3 linked regions of the Drosophila melanogaster genome follow. The protein of the gene in region 1 interacts with the protein of each later gene in a pairwise test. Each region holds a gene or a part of one and is shown in the gene's direction. Other genes may lie near its edges.

The links. The genes of interacting proteins can lie anywhere in the genome.
Region 2: the proteins of chic (region 1) and ena interact in binary tests that used the Drosophila melanogaster proteins (3 or more experiments, as listed by UniProt).
Region 3: the proteins of chic (region 1) and Rac1 interact in binary tests that used the Drosophila melanogaster proteins (3 or more experiments, as listed by UniProt).

The regions. Positions count from the first base shown.
Region 1 is NT_033779.5:5,977,992-5,983,125, reverse strand, and holds the start of chic (chickadee), read left to right. Parts: upstream 1-2,107; 5' UTR 2,108-2,173; exon of another isoform or gene 2,174-2,279; intron 2,280-2,644; exon of another isoform or gene 2,645-2,917; intron 2,918-3,024; exon of another isoform or gene 3,025-3,186; intron 3,187-3,421; 5' UTR 3,422-3,603; coding exon 3,604-3,714; intron 3,715-5,134. Other genes in the region: eIF4A (eukaryotic translation initiation factor 4A), read right to left, coding at 1-116, 1,291-1,292. UniProt on the Drosophila melanogaster protein: Binds to actin and affects the structure of the cytoskeleton. At high concentrations, profilin prevents the polymerization of actin, whereas it enhances it at low concentrations. By binding to PIP2, it may inhibit the formation of IP3 and DG.
Region 2 is NT_033778.4:19,153,456-19,161,220, forward strand, and holds the start of ena (enabled), read left to right. Parts: upstream 1-1,765; 5' UTR 1,766-2,019; coding exon 2,020-2,912; intron 2,913-5,278; coding exon 5,279-5,600; intron 5,601-5,664; coding exon 5,665-5,897; intron 5,898-6,327; coding exon of another isoform or gene 6,328-6,339; coding exon 6,340-6,580; intron 6,581-6,721; coding exon 6,722-7,447; intron 7,448-7,518; coding exon 7,519-7,677; intron 7,678-7,738; coding exon 7,739-7,765. UniProt on the Drosophila melanogaster protein: Functions, together with Abl, trio and fra, in a complex signaling network that regulates axon guidance at the CNS midline. Required in part for robo-mediated repulsive axon guidance. May be involved in lamellipodial dynamics.
Region 3 is NT_037436.4:1,300,379-1,304,248, reverse strand, and holds Rac1 (Rac1), read left to right. Parts: upstream 1-1,565; 5' UTR 1,566-1,902; coding exon 1,903-2,481; 3' UTR 2,482-3,370; downstream 3,371-3,870. Other genes in the region: Acat2 (Acetyl-CoA acetyltransferase 2), read right to left, coding at 26-211, 272-701, 756-868, 940-1,061, 1,156-1,198. UniProt on the Drosophila melanogaster protein: During various developmental processes, regulates changes in cell morphology in response to extracellular signals.

The DNA.
Region 1 (5,134 bases):
CCTCGCGCAAGTTCATGTCATCGAAGTTGTCGTACACCTCGTGCCAGGTGGACTCGATGACGCCCTCGGGTTCCATGCTGGCGGGGCCATCCTGAGGTATCTCATTTCGGTCATCCCTGCAAGAAAGCGAGAATGCGTTAGTGGGGCGGAACAGTGGAAACAACAACAAAAGCAGTAGCGGGACGGGGGTAAAAAATTTTCCAGCCACAATTGTTGGTTATGGCGAATGGCAGAAAAGCGAAAAGTAAGTAAGGCTGGTGGAGGGAGAATCGAAAACCGCGAGCGCCGCTTGGCAACCACTCACATTATCAACAATAAAGAATTGACTAGGTAAACTTATATCCTGAATTTCGACGGCTTGGGCCCGGTTCACTCAATCAACTGTTTGCCTATTTGTCTAGAACGAATAACGGAGAATTCGGGCCGAACGCCGACTGTGTTGTTTTCTCGAGCTATCGAGCGCTTTGCTTTTAGTCCGTTACGTTTGTGCTGCGATGCGCTCTGCGAAGCGGTGACTTTACGTATGAGACCGAAAGCGATAGCTAGGCAGCCTTTTTGAGCGACAAGCGGCGAGAGTCCGCCCCTGAGCGTGTGCGAGCGGGACGACCCTAGTGTCGTTCGTGTCAATGTCAACGGGCGAGAGCAGCCGAGCGATATTAGCACGTAACAGTGGCGCCAGTGTTGCCTAACACCAGTTGCGAATGGTAGTAGTTGATCGAAAATAGCAGTAGTTTTGACAGTACGGCGGGGTGGGGATAGAAAAAAAAAACCGACTGACAGGCAAATATTCCAAAGCAAATCGAAAATTGAGTTGGAGCAAGGCTAAATCAGCCCACGAATGCCGTCGTCCACTAAAGATAGAATCAGCGGTCTGCGTCATTGTCCAGTCATGAGTCAAGCGAACGGACGGACGAGAGTGCATAAAATCCAGTCAAGTGGCGACACCGACGTCACCGGACTTCAACAAAAGTCCCCAGTTCGGAGTTCTAGGTTTCGCCAAGGCGAAGGGGGAGGGGTGCAAAGACCGAGTCCAGCAACAAAACTCTCTTGGAGCAACCACTGCGCTCGCTCTCTCTCGCTCGCATGGTGGCTGCCTCTCACTCCCACTCCCTGCACTGTCATACGGGCGTGTAATTTTTTTCCACTCATTTTGACCGTCAGAAATTTAAAATCGCGTTTTTTGCATTAAAACACGCGGAAATTATGCTAAGCAGTTGCGGAATCGATGCGGCACAAGATCGCCTTGCGGCTTTTTACATTTCAAACGCTTAATCTAGGGTATATACTAACATTTTCTGAAAATTATTTGGCACTTTTTATACACGTGCTGCTACTGATTTGTTAAAACCAAGCAAAAGAGGCTCCATCTTGCAAAAGTTTTAGTGATGTAAGAAAACATTAGCGACTATCGATAGATCGATCGCCAACTATCGCCAGATGTTAGCGGATATCCGGCAATTTCGCTGCGGCTTCGCAGTGTGTATGGTAAAGAAAAACAAAGCATAAAATAATGCAAATATTTTGAATTCAATTTGTATTATTTTGCACTTTTTTACGTTATTTTGGAGGTGCCACTTGAAGTTCAGGGCTGCAGACCCAGAGCTGGGGTGCCTGACTTCGCTATTTTATTTGCTATCGATATTACGCCCATCAAAGTTTTCCACCAGTATAAATATTTAAACCCGAATCTTATATTTGTTTAATAAATTTGATTGTAATATTGTTTTCCAACAGATTACATTCTCTTGTTGTAAAGACTTAATTGTAGTATTCAACCATTTGAACAACAACCTTATGTGAATCATATTATACAAATATATGAAAGTATGGAATTTTACATATGCTGCTATTCAGTGAACTGTTTTTAAATCGTGGGACTGGAACCGGCCAGCTATTTGTCTTAGTAGCTTAACGATCAGTGTTGTTTTGAATCTTTTTGAGTTTAAGTACAGTAATCTTATCTCATAGTACTCGAATGTGGAAGTGAATTTAAACTTTTCATGCCGCTGGTCTAACCGGGACTTACGAAGGCAAATAGCGAATACAATCGATTGCGAGGAATATCGTGATCGAATTTTGGCACACATCGATTGTTTCGAGCGAACAGCGACTTGTGTTCCAGTACTACCGCTTGTCGACGGTCACTCTGAATTTTTACCGCAGCGTGTGAACAGTGTGAGTGCCGTGGGTTTCCTGGAAATCCGTTTAGAAAGAGATTTCTCTAGACTTACTGAACGTGGGGTGGTTCGACAAAAATCGAAAACCGACCAACACTTTGGGTAAATTGCGTACAAAGCGACTTTCGTGCTGGGTGCACGCCTTAAATGGCGAAAACCCACACATGTACGCGCTACTTGGCCAACCGCGTTGGCTGTGCGTCGCCGTCTGCGGGTGTGTGTGTGTGTATGCCTGTGTGTATAAGTGTGCAAAAAATTAAGTGGGAAAAGTTCAGCAGCAGCCGGTCGGTATTCGGCATACGGCATTCGGTACTCGGTATTCCATTCGATTTGTCAAGCAGCCAATGCTAACATATTGCGGGTGCGGTGCAGCGCAGCACATTATGATATGTGAGATGGGATTCGAACATATAGGCGTTGAAATTAAAGGCTATTTTTAATTTATGACAGTTACTCAGTGCCGGCCAACAAAGTGACGATTCATAACACTCACTCGGAGAGCCGCCGTTGAGTCATCGTCTGCTCTCACTCGCTCATTTGCATTGTCCGCAGCCGGCTGATTAATAACGGCCCGCCTCGTACGACCGTCTCGCTCACACACCCACTCCAGGCGCACCGTTGCACTCGCCCTGGCTACGGCTCTCGCTCGCTCACTCTCTGCCCCACTCGAAAGCAGTGGCAGTGGGTGAGTGAACGGGTGACTCACGGCTTGGAATTGAGCGCTTTGGAGCAGAGGCAAGGCAAGCAGCCCCCTGCAGCGCGCACTCTTTCGCCACTCTCTCTCCATCTCTCACTCTCTCGAGTGGGTTTTCTCGAATTCAAAATCGGTTTATGGTTCTGCTTTGCGCTCATTCGACTTTTGAAATCCGCCTCGAACGCTTCGAAAATTCCCAGCGAGTCGGACGTGTGTGTGGAGCTGCGGCGTACGGTTTCTGTTTCTGTCTGTCTTGGTCTCCTTGGTCTTGCTCTTGCTCTTGGTCTCATCCCCCGTGCGTGTGTGTGTATATATGTGAGTTTTTCGGAGGCGGAAAATTAGGCGCTTTGTGCAATGCATCACAATCAAAATCACTAGATATATATACTTATATGTATATACATAAATGTGCATAACACAATTCCGCCGATACCCGGTAATTTGTCAAGGGCGGATGCAACACCCACTGCCGCATGATAAAATACGATACGATTTGATAAATGTTAATCCATCTCTCTCTCTCTCTCTCTTTCTCCACCTCTCGTTGCAGTTGAAAGTAAGTTACCCCAAGAAAAAATCGTCGGTGTTGCGGTTTTTCTTTGTCTCCCTGCCAATTTCGTGTGACCCCCGAAACGAAAGTGCGACTCGCCGTGCGGTAAAGCAACAGCGATCCATATCCAGATCCATATATATCAGTTCAACTTAATCCGCACCCACGACAAACAAAGCACCATGAGCTGGCAAGATTATGTGGACAACCAACTCCTGGCCTCGCAGTGCGTGACCAAGGCGTGCATCGCCGGCCACGACGGCAACATTTGGGCGCAGTCCAGTGGCTTTGAGGTGAGTACGTCGAACGGAATGGACTAATGGACGGAAAGCGGTTGGGAAAACCCATAGAATGGAATTCGGACGGAAAAACGGATAGTTGACAATGAATTTTCGCAAGTTCAAGGGTGTGACTCTCGCGCTGTCTTCCTCTCGCGGCCGCCATGATAACTTTCATTTGATAAAGAGCAACTCCCACCCCTTCGCCCTCGCCCTTGTCAGTTTCACCCCCTGCAGCGCCACTCCTGCGCAGGCCCGCTACCCCCTCCTCTCCCGCCTACGCTTTTGAGGGAGTGTGCGTGATCATACAACCCAGCAGGGAGACCAATTGGGCGACCTAGCCGATACGGATGGATTTCTGTTTATCGGTGACTAAGGAGGTGCAGCTTCGCTTCGCGGTAATCACCAATGCACTTGCATGCGGCGATGAGTGTGTGGTGTGGAGAGCGGGGGCGGGGCCGGGACCGGGAAATCTGATATCAGCGCAGCCGGTTCGAATGTCTGCGGTGCTGTGCAACACTGGTTCCTGATAATGCAGCCCACAGGCGCCTGGCATCAGCCCCACCCCTTCGCTATCGCTCGCCTTTATCGCACTCAATACAGACGGACCGTTTCCTCTGCGGCGACGGCCAAAATAAATGCTCTTTATCGGAGCGAAATACAGAACCAAACAGAACAGAACCAAAATGAAACGAACAGAAGTACAGAAAATATCTTGAGCATGCGATGCCGCGTCACCAGCGCAGAGTGAATCGAATTGAGTGGAGTTGACTCCGCTTCGGCTTCTTTTACTGATTTCGATTCTGAATCTGAATCTGCTACCTTCGAATGCGAATGCTCTGAGTATTTCTCGTATGCGCGCCACGTTTTCGCCCTTTTGTGAGTGTGGCTGTCTGTGTGCGTGTGCAACTTCCTGTCGACTCCGAATCCGAATACAAATACGAATCCATGTGCTCTTATCCTGCTCGCTCTCCCAGCGAGATTCCACTCGATTCGGGCAGCCACTCCCTAGTGCTTTGTCCGTCGAATGAAGTTCATCTCGCCGCTTATTAGATTAGGAACCGATTTTGGCCAAATTCGATCCGCTGCCTACGTCACCTCACCATCACACTCATTCTTTTATCTACCTGCCATTTCTGCACGCGCATCACTTTCGTTTTATTATCTCTCGCTGCCTTCGCAGGTGCCTTTGTTGTTTTTCCCAACTTCGCATTACCCAAGTTACCCAGTTTTGATCTTGATTCGGATGAATCATTGTGAATACTTAGCTTTTTCCTTTTCCGATTGATCAGCTGAGCTGGACCTTGTGAGAGAGTTGTGTTTTTGGGCTGCTAATAAAAGTTTATGATAAACACATTTATATACATGGCTTTGCATTGAGAAAACCGACTTTGGGTGACAGAATCTGAGTGCCATCGTGTGGCATGTTCATTCA
Region 2 (7,765 bases), on another chromosome or scaffold:
TTGTGGTTTGCAACACCTTATAAGATCAACATAAATGTTGAAACTAACTGAGCACGGATTTTCTCGCAGTGCAGGCACGGCAGGAAGCGCTCCTCCCGTGACGAGTTCATCGCGCAGTGATATTCGATATTGATTGAGACCCCCACTTGTCCCCCAGCACTTCTTGATGTTTGCCATGGGCAAACTGTTTTGAGTCTCCTGACTGCCTGGCAACCTACTTTGTGACTCCGCTGCTCACATGTGTGGGCCCTGTTTGTTTTTATGATTTTTTTTTTTCCAGTCCGATGTCTGCCTGCGGGTCTTTATGGACAGCCATATGGATTACTCCAGTACTCGCATTCGTAGTGCCCCTTAGAAATATTTAGTTGCCAAATCATTTAAGCCGCGGCACACGCTCTGGTCCAAAAAAAAAAAAAAACAAAACAAAAATGGTAAAAAAAAAAAACGAACTGAACCATTCTGACAGAGCCATTAAAGCTAGCCGGTAATCGGTTGGCTCAAATCAGAGATCGGTGAACCACCAACAGCCACTACACAACCACTTACAATGGGCCACAATAATGTTAATTGGAAATAACGTTTAGGAATTGTTGTGGGGCAAAAAACCGAATCAGACTGAAACATAAGCCAGCGAGTCAGAAACAGAGGCTCAGATCTCTGAGAGCTGAGTGCTCCAAGTTGAGATAGACAATGTTGTATATGAATTTTTCATAACATGCTACAAGCTGTGCCTCCAGGTACCTCCCCCCCCCCATTTCCCGCCGCCGTCGCCGCTTTTCGCCGCCAAAGAACAGTTGAAATGAAGGAAACAAAAACGCAGCGAGCGAGGGAAAAATACTTGTAATAGTCACTCGAGGGGGAAATATAAATTATTGAGCTCGTTTCTTAAGTAATTATCGCACTGACGGACGGAACCAACTTACTGAATCACAAACACTGACCGAATGACTAACTGGCGGATGGACAGACTGACCAACTGGTTAAACGACGGTCACGAGACGTCGGCGAGGCTTCAAGATTGCCGGCAGAAAAAAGCCTCGGGCGCAACTTTGTAAGATTCGAGAGCTTATCGCATACCCTTCGAAACTGCATAAGAAATTTGAGATGGAACTTGCGCAATTTCATAGCTAGGCGAAAAGTTGTAAGGGTATGCCCTACAATTCATTGTATCATTGTAGCTCTCTGAAGATATTGCATATTTTAGGGAAACTGCTTGAAACTCTGTTTCAGTGCCTGAAAACTTCTCAAAATATAAACTTTTGAGTATTAAAATAAAATCGCCTTTCAATAATCTGAATCTTACATCCTTCCCTCAACGAAAATCGTGTAAAACGAGAACGTTTTTTCTCAATAGGTTCTATGCAGACTACTTGCCCTCACGTCTTTTAATTGTCATGCCATTTGGGAATCGTCTGAAGCGACTGTGAGTCAGGTTGTGGTCTCTCCATCTACCTGGCCATTATGCTCGGTTCCCAGCTCGGGGTCAATCCAGCTCAACATCCATAGCACATCTCATCATTTCTCATTATTTTATTGACTTTGAAGTGTAATTATTTGCCTTTTAGACGAATTCAAAGCGCAGCAGCCGCTAAAATGAGAGAAAAATACAGATTGTGAGCCGATACTCAGTTTCTCGCTCACGTCTTTTCTGCTCATTCGCCTTTAGATATATTTTTTTTCTCGGCTTTTGTTTGTCTTGGCCTCGACTGAGAGACCGTTTCGGTCTCTGAGACCCAGTCGCGATCTCGGTCTGGATCTTGGCTTTAGTCTCCAGCGGGTCTTGAGTGCGTTCAGACGTGTGCAGCTGAGATCTTGGAACGACGAATGGTGATCGGTGATCTCTGATCAGTGACCAGTGGGCAGAGAGCGAATAGCCAAGATCCAAGAGCCTAGGCAAACATAAATACGATACATCCGATCCGATCCGATCGTTCGGTTTCATAGTGTGCTTAAGTGTGGGATCGATCGTGGGATCTGTTTAGTGTCTGTGACGCCTCTGCAAATATTGGCCAACGGTTAATGGCCATGAAGAAGCTCTACGCGAAGACCTCGTTCACCAGCAAGAAGCCATCGAGTGCCGCCAATTCCACTCCGATATTGGCCTACCACCAGCAACAGCATCAGCAGCCGGGCAATGGCATTTGCGAGTTCCAGGTGGTGGCACCTGGTCACTCCGGTGAGCTAATGATACGCCGCAGCCAAAGTATGCACCACAAGATGTCGCCTCCAGTCGGCGGCCTGGGCTCCAAGTCGGAGTACTACAGCATTGAGGAGCTGCAGGAGCTGGATTTGCTGGACTATCGTCATCCCATGTACCATCATTATCAGCAGCAGGAGCTGAGGCAGCGCTACCATGAGCACGAGCAGTTGGTGCTGCAGTTACCCAAGGCTACTAGTCCAAAGGCAGGACCCATCTATGAGGCACCACAGAGATCTCAGCAGCAGCAGGATCAGATGTTGTATGTACCAACGGCAGCGCAAAGAGATTCATCATCAAGTGCTGCAGCCACATCTATAGCCAGCTCATCTACCCTAACTTCATCCCCATCGCCATCCTCCTCTTCATCTCTGATCTTTTCCACTTTGCGCAAATGCGTTTCGCCCTCGAATCCCTCGGTGAATCCGAACCAACCCTCAAAAACTCAACCCTCCAAACTGGGCTGTTCCATGTCGTTTTCAATTAGAACGACAACGGCAACAGCAGCCACAGCCGCAGCAGCAAATGCAGCAACAGCAACACTATCGACACAGCAGCAACAACAGCAGGCACAGCAGCAACACAAGCAACATCTCTATAGCAACATACATCATTATCTGATCCGACAACAACAGCAGAAACAACACTACACATTACAACGTCGCCATAATTCGGTCAAAGATAAATTCATTGGGGGCATTACAACGATTTTTGCGTATGTGTAACCCACTTCCCTATGCGTCTGTCCTTGGTTGGGTTCTGTAATAATTCCCATATTTCCCCACTTTTCTCTACTATACTTCTTCAATCTCAGCACGTAGTACTTGGCCCTGGACTTTTGAATGCGTTTTACAGCTTGGTGAGATCGTTCGTAAATCAAAGAACTCTTAACCCCCACAGAGCAGCCGCCGTCGTACTCTCCGGTTTAATCATAATTATAATTTAACGCCAATTAAGCTGGAAAACGCTATCGTGTGCACACGAATCTGCATCTTGCACTCGGCTGCAGTTTAAAAACTTAAGCTTAACGCACGAATAAATCCCCAAGGCATAGAAAATTTCACCTGCCACATATTGAAAATGCTCCCAAAGCGATTTTCCAGTGGCTCAATTATATTAGCATCCCATTTAACTGGCCATTTGCGGGGCACTTTTCGATTTTCATTTGGGTTTTCCACTCAGCTGCACAGCGCAAAAAAACGATTAAGATGTTAGTTTTTACTGAAATATTTAATTGCTTTCTTTAACGATTAAAATACTATGTATCACATGTGTCGATTTTACGATTCATGAACTCATTTCCATTTCTTTACAATCTAATGTAATTAAAACAGTCGTACAGTTCTATGATTGTAGCTTAAATCTCGGAATTGGCACGTTTAATAGGCACTTATTACGTGTAAAATCGAATGAAAGCATTTATGCACTGAATGTTAGTCACAAAATGCATTACTAATCCCAACTACTTTGCTGCTGCGAACTACTGAAATAATTTTAGTTGCATTAAAATTGTTTAAAAGAGTACAACACTTTTACAAAAGCAATTCTTTTGCTCACTCCGACTTCCTATAATTATTTTCGAATATGTAGTATCCAATTTATGAGATATAAATCGATTCGATTGTAAAAAACAGAAATTTAAAAAAACTGATTGACCGCTATTGTTTCGCAGTTTCTCATAGTGTGCAGAAAAAAAAAACTTCACTTTCGTTGCCACGAATTTCGATGCAAATCAAAGCGGACAGGCTCATAAGACTTAGCTCCAAACTGTCGGTGGTTATATAAGGCCCTGAAACGGCGCACAGCTGTGCCAGCCGCCAGAGTGCGACTCGGATTCGGATTGAGATTCGTCCGTCTGTCCAGCCGTCCGTACCGCCGATCTGCGCACTCCATTTAAGTGCAAAACTACTTGCGGCTTTTGGCCGGGCCAAGTCTGTAGCGAGAATACTGCCGACTCGACTCGTTTGGCGGCTGCTCTCCGTCATTATCTCTATGTGTCCCCCAGTAACACACAACTCGGAGCAACTTGGAGCAACTTGGAGCTGCTCAGGCAACTTGGAGCGGTGCAGGCTAGCAAAAACAAAAAAAGGGGCAGAGAAAAAAAGAAAAAAAAAAAGAACGGAGCTATAGGATAGAAAGAACACCACATAGCCAAGTTGAGCAAAAGGCAAGGCAACTCGTCATCGCCTTTGCATTTTTCCAATGAAGGCGTTCATTTGTCGCTGGCCATGTTTACTTCACTGGCTGACTTTAATTGTCAACTCAACTGAGTGTCCCGGGGGGAGAAAATGCTAAAGGTTGAATGCAGCATATACACGTTCATATTAGAACTTTCATTAGAATCATTTAATCGGTCCGTGCGACTCGAGACGATCATCTGGCTGGATGACAGGTGTGCGGGCATACAAAGAAATGCATTGCACTTCCTGTCCTGAAACCGATGGGATTAGAGGGGAGTCGAGGGTATACATAGATCAAAGCCCTTGCTCACTTGAGGCGTGTGAAAAGTCTGGAAGATCACGGTGCAGTAAAGTGCAGTTGAATGAGTTCTTCAAGGGGCAAATTGTAGAGCCGATCTAATGATCTGAAAACGACTGCTCATTGCGACATTCTTTCTGGGAAGTCTTAATCGAGTCTAAGAAGTTTTTTTTATTATGACGGAAAATCGATTTCTATGAATATATGTAGAAGCTTTCCATAGAACAATATATACTTTTTACTTCCAATCCCACGAAAGCCATCAATAAATTTGTATCTCTTTTATTGAACTCGTTTAGTGCAAATAATAAAGTTGCCAAATTTGACTAATTTGTTAGCACAACTTCCGTTTCGTTTCCCACGATCTTTTAAGACTTTAAAAGAGTTAACATCATAAAATGGAATTTTTGTACATACATATATGTTTCTCGCACATTTTCATATCTTTTCTTCTCAAGGCAAGGGCTATTCCCTATAATAAATTTTCAGCTCGAACTTCTTGAAGTGTGTTAAGTCCTCATCATTTCCATACACATTCAAGGTTCCATTCCATACCATTTAAGTCAGCCAACTAACCATAATATTCACACTTATTTCTTGCAGTGAGCAGAGTATTATCGGGGCGCGGGCCTCTGTGATGGTGTACGATGACAACCAGAAGAAGTGGGTGCCATCGGGCAGCTCGTCGGGATTGAGCAAGGTGCAGATCTACCACCACCAGCAGAACAACACGTTCCGTGTGGTGGGACGAAAGCTGCAGGATCACGAGGTGGTCATCAACTGCTCCATTCTGAAGGGACTGAAGTACAATCAGGCCACGGCAACATTTCATCAGTGGCGCGATTCGAAATTCGTTTACGGCTTGAACTTCTCGAGCCAAAATGATGCGGAGAACTTTGCTAGGGCCATGATGCATGCCCTGGAAGTAAGTATATCTCTTTCACAACCAATATCTGTATCATTCGCTAACATTTGAATGTCTTTCTCAGGTGCTCAGTGGTCGCGTGGCGAACAACCCAGGTGGACCGCCCACAAATGGCAATGGCTATGAGGAGGACATGGGCTATCGCACGATGACCAGCGAGGATGCAGCCATACTGCGTCAGAACAACAGCATAGGTGGGCACGTCACGCCCTCGGCCCAGACGCCCACCTCGCAGACCAACCAGAATAACATCCCCCAGAGCCCGCCGACGCCCCAGGGTCATCATCGCACCAGCAGGTAGGCTCCATTTCCATTAATTGTGTTGGATACGGCATGCTCATTGCTGTGGAAAAACCCATTAGCTTAGACTCGATTGATCTAACCATTCAAGAAATATTCAATTTTATGAGAATAAGTCATTAGCACATATTGGTCGGAAGGAACATCAGTTTTCTTTGAACATTATAAAGCTGAAAATCCGTGGTTGTTATAAATGAATCCTAAGATCAAAAATTTCATTAGTCTTCAGATGCAGATACATTTTCTTGCAAGATATGTAATGTAGGATACAATTGTAGGATTGCATTACGCAAGTTGGGAACAATTTCTATCCACTTACACATGAGCAGTAGGGGCCAACACTTTTATCCGAGTTCTCGTGTCTCATCTCTCATATCACTCATTGATCCATCCCCATCCCACGCCGAACCTTTGCTCACCCAAAAAGGAATTCCCTCAGCGCCCCACCGGCACCACAGCCCCAACAGCAGCAGCAGCAGCAGCAGGCGCAGCAAATGGGTCAGCCAGGATCCCACTATGGACCCACTGGAAATGGACCCACTTCGAATGGCCTGCCACAGCAGGTGAACTCACAGATTCCGCCGGCACCGCAGCAGCAGCCACAACAGCAACAGTTTCAGCAGCAGCAGCAGCAACAGCAATATCAGCAAATGGTCCAGGCGGGCTATGCGCCCTCTCAGGTGAGTTCGATATGCTATAACCTCACCCCGTCCCAGTTTCCTCATGCGGTATTTCTGTTTCATTTCATTGGCAAATTGGCTTGATCCTGAATCTGAATCTCCTGAAAACCCCGACACACCACCACCATCACACCCCAACAGCAGTATCAGCAACCCCACTACGTGCTCTCCAATTCTAATCCCAATCTAACTGTGCACCAATACCCGACACAGCAGGCGCAGCAGCAGCCACCGCAAGCGCCACAGCCGCCGCTCCAGAACGGTGGAATGTACATGGTGGGTCATGGTCATCTACCGAGCTCCGCGAGCGCCAACAGTGTTGTGTACGCCAGCCAGCAGCAGATGCTCCCGCAGGCGCATCCACAGGCACCTCAGGCGCCGACGATGCCAGGTCCGGGCTACGGTGGTCCACCAGTACCTCCGCCCCAGCAGCAGGCAGAGAATCCGTACGGTCAGGTACCCATGCCGCCGCCAATGAATCCGTCACAGCAACAGCAGCCAGGTCAGGTGCCTCTAAACCGGATGAGCAGCCAGGGTGGTCCAGGTGGCCCACCGGCTCCTGCTCCGCCCCCGCCACCACCCAGTTTTGGTGGAGCTGCTGGAGGAGGACCACCACCACCAGCCCCGCCACAGATGTTCAACGGCGCACCGCCGCCGCCAGCCATGGGCGGTGGACCACCGCCGGCTCCACCGGCACCGCCAGCAATGGGTGGCGGACCACCGCCAGCACCGGGCGGACCAGGGGCACCACCACCACCGCCTCCGCCGCCGGGATTGGGAGGAGCGCCTAAGAAGGAAGATCCCCAGGCAGATCTCATGGGCTCGCTGGCCTCCCAGCTGCAGCAGATCAAGCTCAAAAAGAATAAGGTAAAATATCAATTTATTTAATTTATACAACTTGACTAAGCATTGTATTACCGTTTATTTTTTATTTTTAGGTCACCACCTCTGCTCCGGAGAATAGCGGCAGCAGCACGTCCAGTGGCGGCAGCGGCAACTATGGAACCATAGGACGAAGCTCTAATGGCATGGCCTCCATGATGGACGAGATGGCCAAGACGCTGGCACGACGACGCGCCCAAGCAGAAAAGAAGGATGTAAGTCAACTTTGTTTAACTTATTCCATAATCAATATCTTAATTCGTTGGCATATTGCAGCCCGATCCTGAAGCCGAAGTGAAAAAA
Region 3 (3,870 bases), on another chromosome or scaffold:
AGAAGTGGAATTTCCGTGTAACTACCAATGCTTCCACAGCTGTGACTGGTCCCAGTCCCATCACCTTTGGCTCAATGCCACTCTGAGTCCAGCCCACAATCCTAGCCAGCGGCTTAAGACCCTTCCTGGCCACCTCCTCGCCGGACATCAGTAGTACGGCAGCAGCGGAGTCGTTGACGCCTGAGGCATTGCCAGCGGTTATAGAGCCGCCCTACATAAGCAAGAGAAAGTGGGTTAACTCTCGCTCTTCTTGTATTTATCTTAGACCCACCTCTTTGAAGGCTGCCCTGAGCTTCTGTATACCCTCGACGGTGCTGCCCGCCTTGATGTACTCATCCTTGCTGAATGTGGTCGTACCCTTGCGATCCTTGATCTCCACGGGCACAATCTCCTTGTCGAAGTAACCCTTTTTTTGGGCCTCCTCGGCTCGATTTTGCGACAGCACGGCATAGGCATCCTGGGCCTCACGACTGATGTTATACTTATCGGCCAGATTCTCGGCAGTGATGCCCATGTGTATGTTCTCCATGGCATCGGTTAGGCCGTCGTGGATCATCGAGTCCACCATAGTGCCCGGACCCATTTTGACGCCCTGCCGCAGATGCATGACGTGTGGAGCCAGGGACATGCTCTCCTGACCTCCTGCCACAACAATCTGTGCGTCTCCCGAGCGGATGGCCTGGTAACCCAGCGCTACAGTTCTGGAAATGGTAAAAACCATTGTAAATGTACGGAATTGTACGGGACAAACTCACTTTAAGCCGGAACCACATAGCATGTTTATGCCGTAGGCTGGCACCTGAATGGGCAGACCCGCCTTGAGTGAAGCCTGACGTGCTGGATTCTGACCCTGACCGGCGCTTAGAGCCTAACAAAGATATTTACATAACAAATAGATCGGTAAGATAGGAGGAGAAACAGTTATGATATGGGTCCCACCTGGCCCAAGATGACTTCGTTGACCTCCTGGCCCTCCACATTCGCCCGCCGGAGTACCTCCTGGATGACCACGCTGCCCAGGTCGGAGGCCTTCAGTTTAGAAAGCGTTCCATTGAAGCTACCTGTTGATTTTTCAGATTGGACAAACACGAAGAGAAAGTTTCCAATTAGAATGTGGTTATCGTGTATGGTGCAGCCGATTTATCTTGGTTTTACCAATGGGCGTGCGGGCGGCGGACACGATGAACACGTCAGACATTCTGGATGGGCAAGGAACAGGTGTTATTGACTTGGCTATTGAGCAGCAAATAAATTCTAATTTTCGAAATTGTATTATTTGCTGCCAGAAGTGTGACCAGGTGCAGCCAAAGCCCAGAAGCTGCACTTCTGGGGCCCAGCCCTACTAAAAACAGCTTGTTCTCACTTCAAATCACTGACATAAACAGGAAGACAATGAAATTATATATTTTGTAATTCGGATTTAATTATAAGTAAATGCGAAACTTAAGGGTTTTATGTTTGCTTTAAGGACGAAGCCTTGAAATAATTTACAAATCTTAGGGTGACCATTTCAATGCAGTTTTAATTTGTTTTAGTATTTTACAGCTTTCCCATGGTAAATTTGAACAGTCCAGCCGCGGTCACACTGCAGTACACAGAAAATTTACTTTTTTTGTTGAGAAAATTAGGGAAATTAACGCACAAAACGCGAGTTAAAGAGGCCCAGAACGTAAGGCGCGATCATCAGTCGCCCCGAGGACCACAAGGCACTGGAAAAGGAGTCGCGCTTCCAGAGATAACCCCGCAAAAGGACCCACGCAAGCAACAGTCCTCCGCCGCCGCCCCAAAAAGAACCAAAAACGCCTGAAGAAGAAGCACCCCCGCAATCAGAAATCTGCAATCTTCAATCTCCAATCTCTAGGCACATAGCACTCCAGTCCAGAAAGTCGAGGAAATCGAACCATGCAGGCGATCAAGTGCGTCGTCGTGGGCGACGGAGCCGTGGGAAAGACCTGCCTGCTGATCAGCTACACGACCAATGCCTTTCCCGGCGAGTACATACCCACCGTGTTCGACAACTACTCGGCCAACGTGATGGTGGACGCCAAGCCCATCAACCTGGGCCTGTGGGATACGGCCGGGCAGGAGGACTACGACCGACTGAGGCCACTGTCTTATCCCCAGACCGATGTCTTCCTCATCTGCTTCTCGCTGGTGAATCCGGCATCGTTCGAGAACGTGCGGGCCAAGTGGTATCCGGAGGTGCGCCACCACTGCCCCAGCACGCCCATCATCCTGGTGGGCACCAAGCTGGATTTGCGCGACGACAAGAACACAATCGAAAAGCTGAGGGACAAGAAACTGGCGCCCATCACCTATCCGCAGGGCCTGGCCATGGCCAAGGAAATCGGAGCGGTCAAGTATCTGGAGTGCTCGGCCCTGACGCAGAAGGGTCTGAAAACCGTTTTCGACGAGGCCATCCGGTCGGTTTTGTGCCCCGTGCTGCAGCCCAAGTCCAAGCGCAAGTGCGCCCTGCTCTAAAAGAGTTAGACAGTTGGTCGGTGGTGTTCCACCGACGGACTCTGCTTAAACGTAATATTATTAACTATAAAACCATTATGTAACCTAAGCGTGGCCAGGCTAAATGGCTCATCCGTAGTTTCTTTGTTACAATTTTGCCACTAATTTCCGCTGCTAGGGGGGGATTCCCCCAACCCAACCCAACCCAACTCTTGCTTTTGTTTCGTTTCCGAGTTCTGAGTTTGTTTCGAGTGTTCTGTAATTCATAATCCAATTATTCTGTTTATTCGTGCATTAATTTCAACTAAAAGTTAAAAGCGAGATGTTTCTAGACGAAATGGAGAACTGTAAACTCTAACTGTATTTTGTATTATTTAATAACTTTTGTAATTAAAATTAATGTTGTAAAACTGAGGTAAAACCAAAAACAAAACAAAACAAAAAAAAAAAAACAAACGAAAAACCTAAAAAAAATGTGAGACAAGTACGAGAATAGCCGCATAATGAGCATAAAGCATAGATGTCGCATAGATGTTGATCGAAGGTCCTGCGGAAGGGATCAGGATATTGAGTCAGTAAAGTAAACGTTCCATTGCAATTACACTTACATTATTACATACTTGTATTTAGATGTTGTTGGATATCGAAGCGACGGCGCGGGCGAGTAACAACTTTTTAAACTTTTGCTAGATCCAGGAACTATCAATATATATACATGTATGTATAAGATGAAAAGTCCTTCGTATACTATGTACTGAATTAAAGGCATCAAACTGAGCAACTTTGAATACTTTGTATTTTAAACGACAGATATTCAAGAAACAAAAGAAAAACAAAAAACATGAACGAAGCCAAGATAATTATATAAATGTGTCTATTTCAATGGAAATCAATAAAGCATAATAAAAGGAGTTTTGGTTTATTTATTGTGATATGTTTCTTATATTCTTCTGACATATCATATGTAGTGAATACTAGAAAACGATCTGCGCATATTAGGGAACTATGAGTGGGAAAGAGCGTAAAACTAGTTTTAGCTAAGTCGAATCACTCATCGAAAAGATATCTGAGTGCTCTTTTCTTCTCCAAGATCTTCGCAGCACCAGCACATATACTTACTTACATAGCTCACGCATTCAAATATTCTTGATTGTTTATCAAACTCCATTCGTCAATGGCCGACATTGGCCCTCGCTCGAGTGCTCACTGTACCCACAACGGAGACAGACTTATCAACGCCGAAGAACGAATTATTTTGCTTATCTCGGCGAAAGTCGAGAACCGAAAATAATCTAAATCAGCTTGAAACAAAATAACCGATTCCCGGAGCTCCTCACTTCTGGTTCTACACCGAGAAAGAAGTATTTATGGTTAGCATGAAAATAAAATATAAATATATAGAAGTAAATA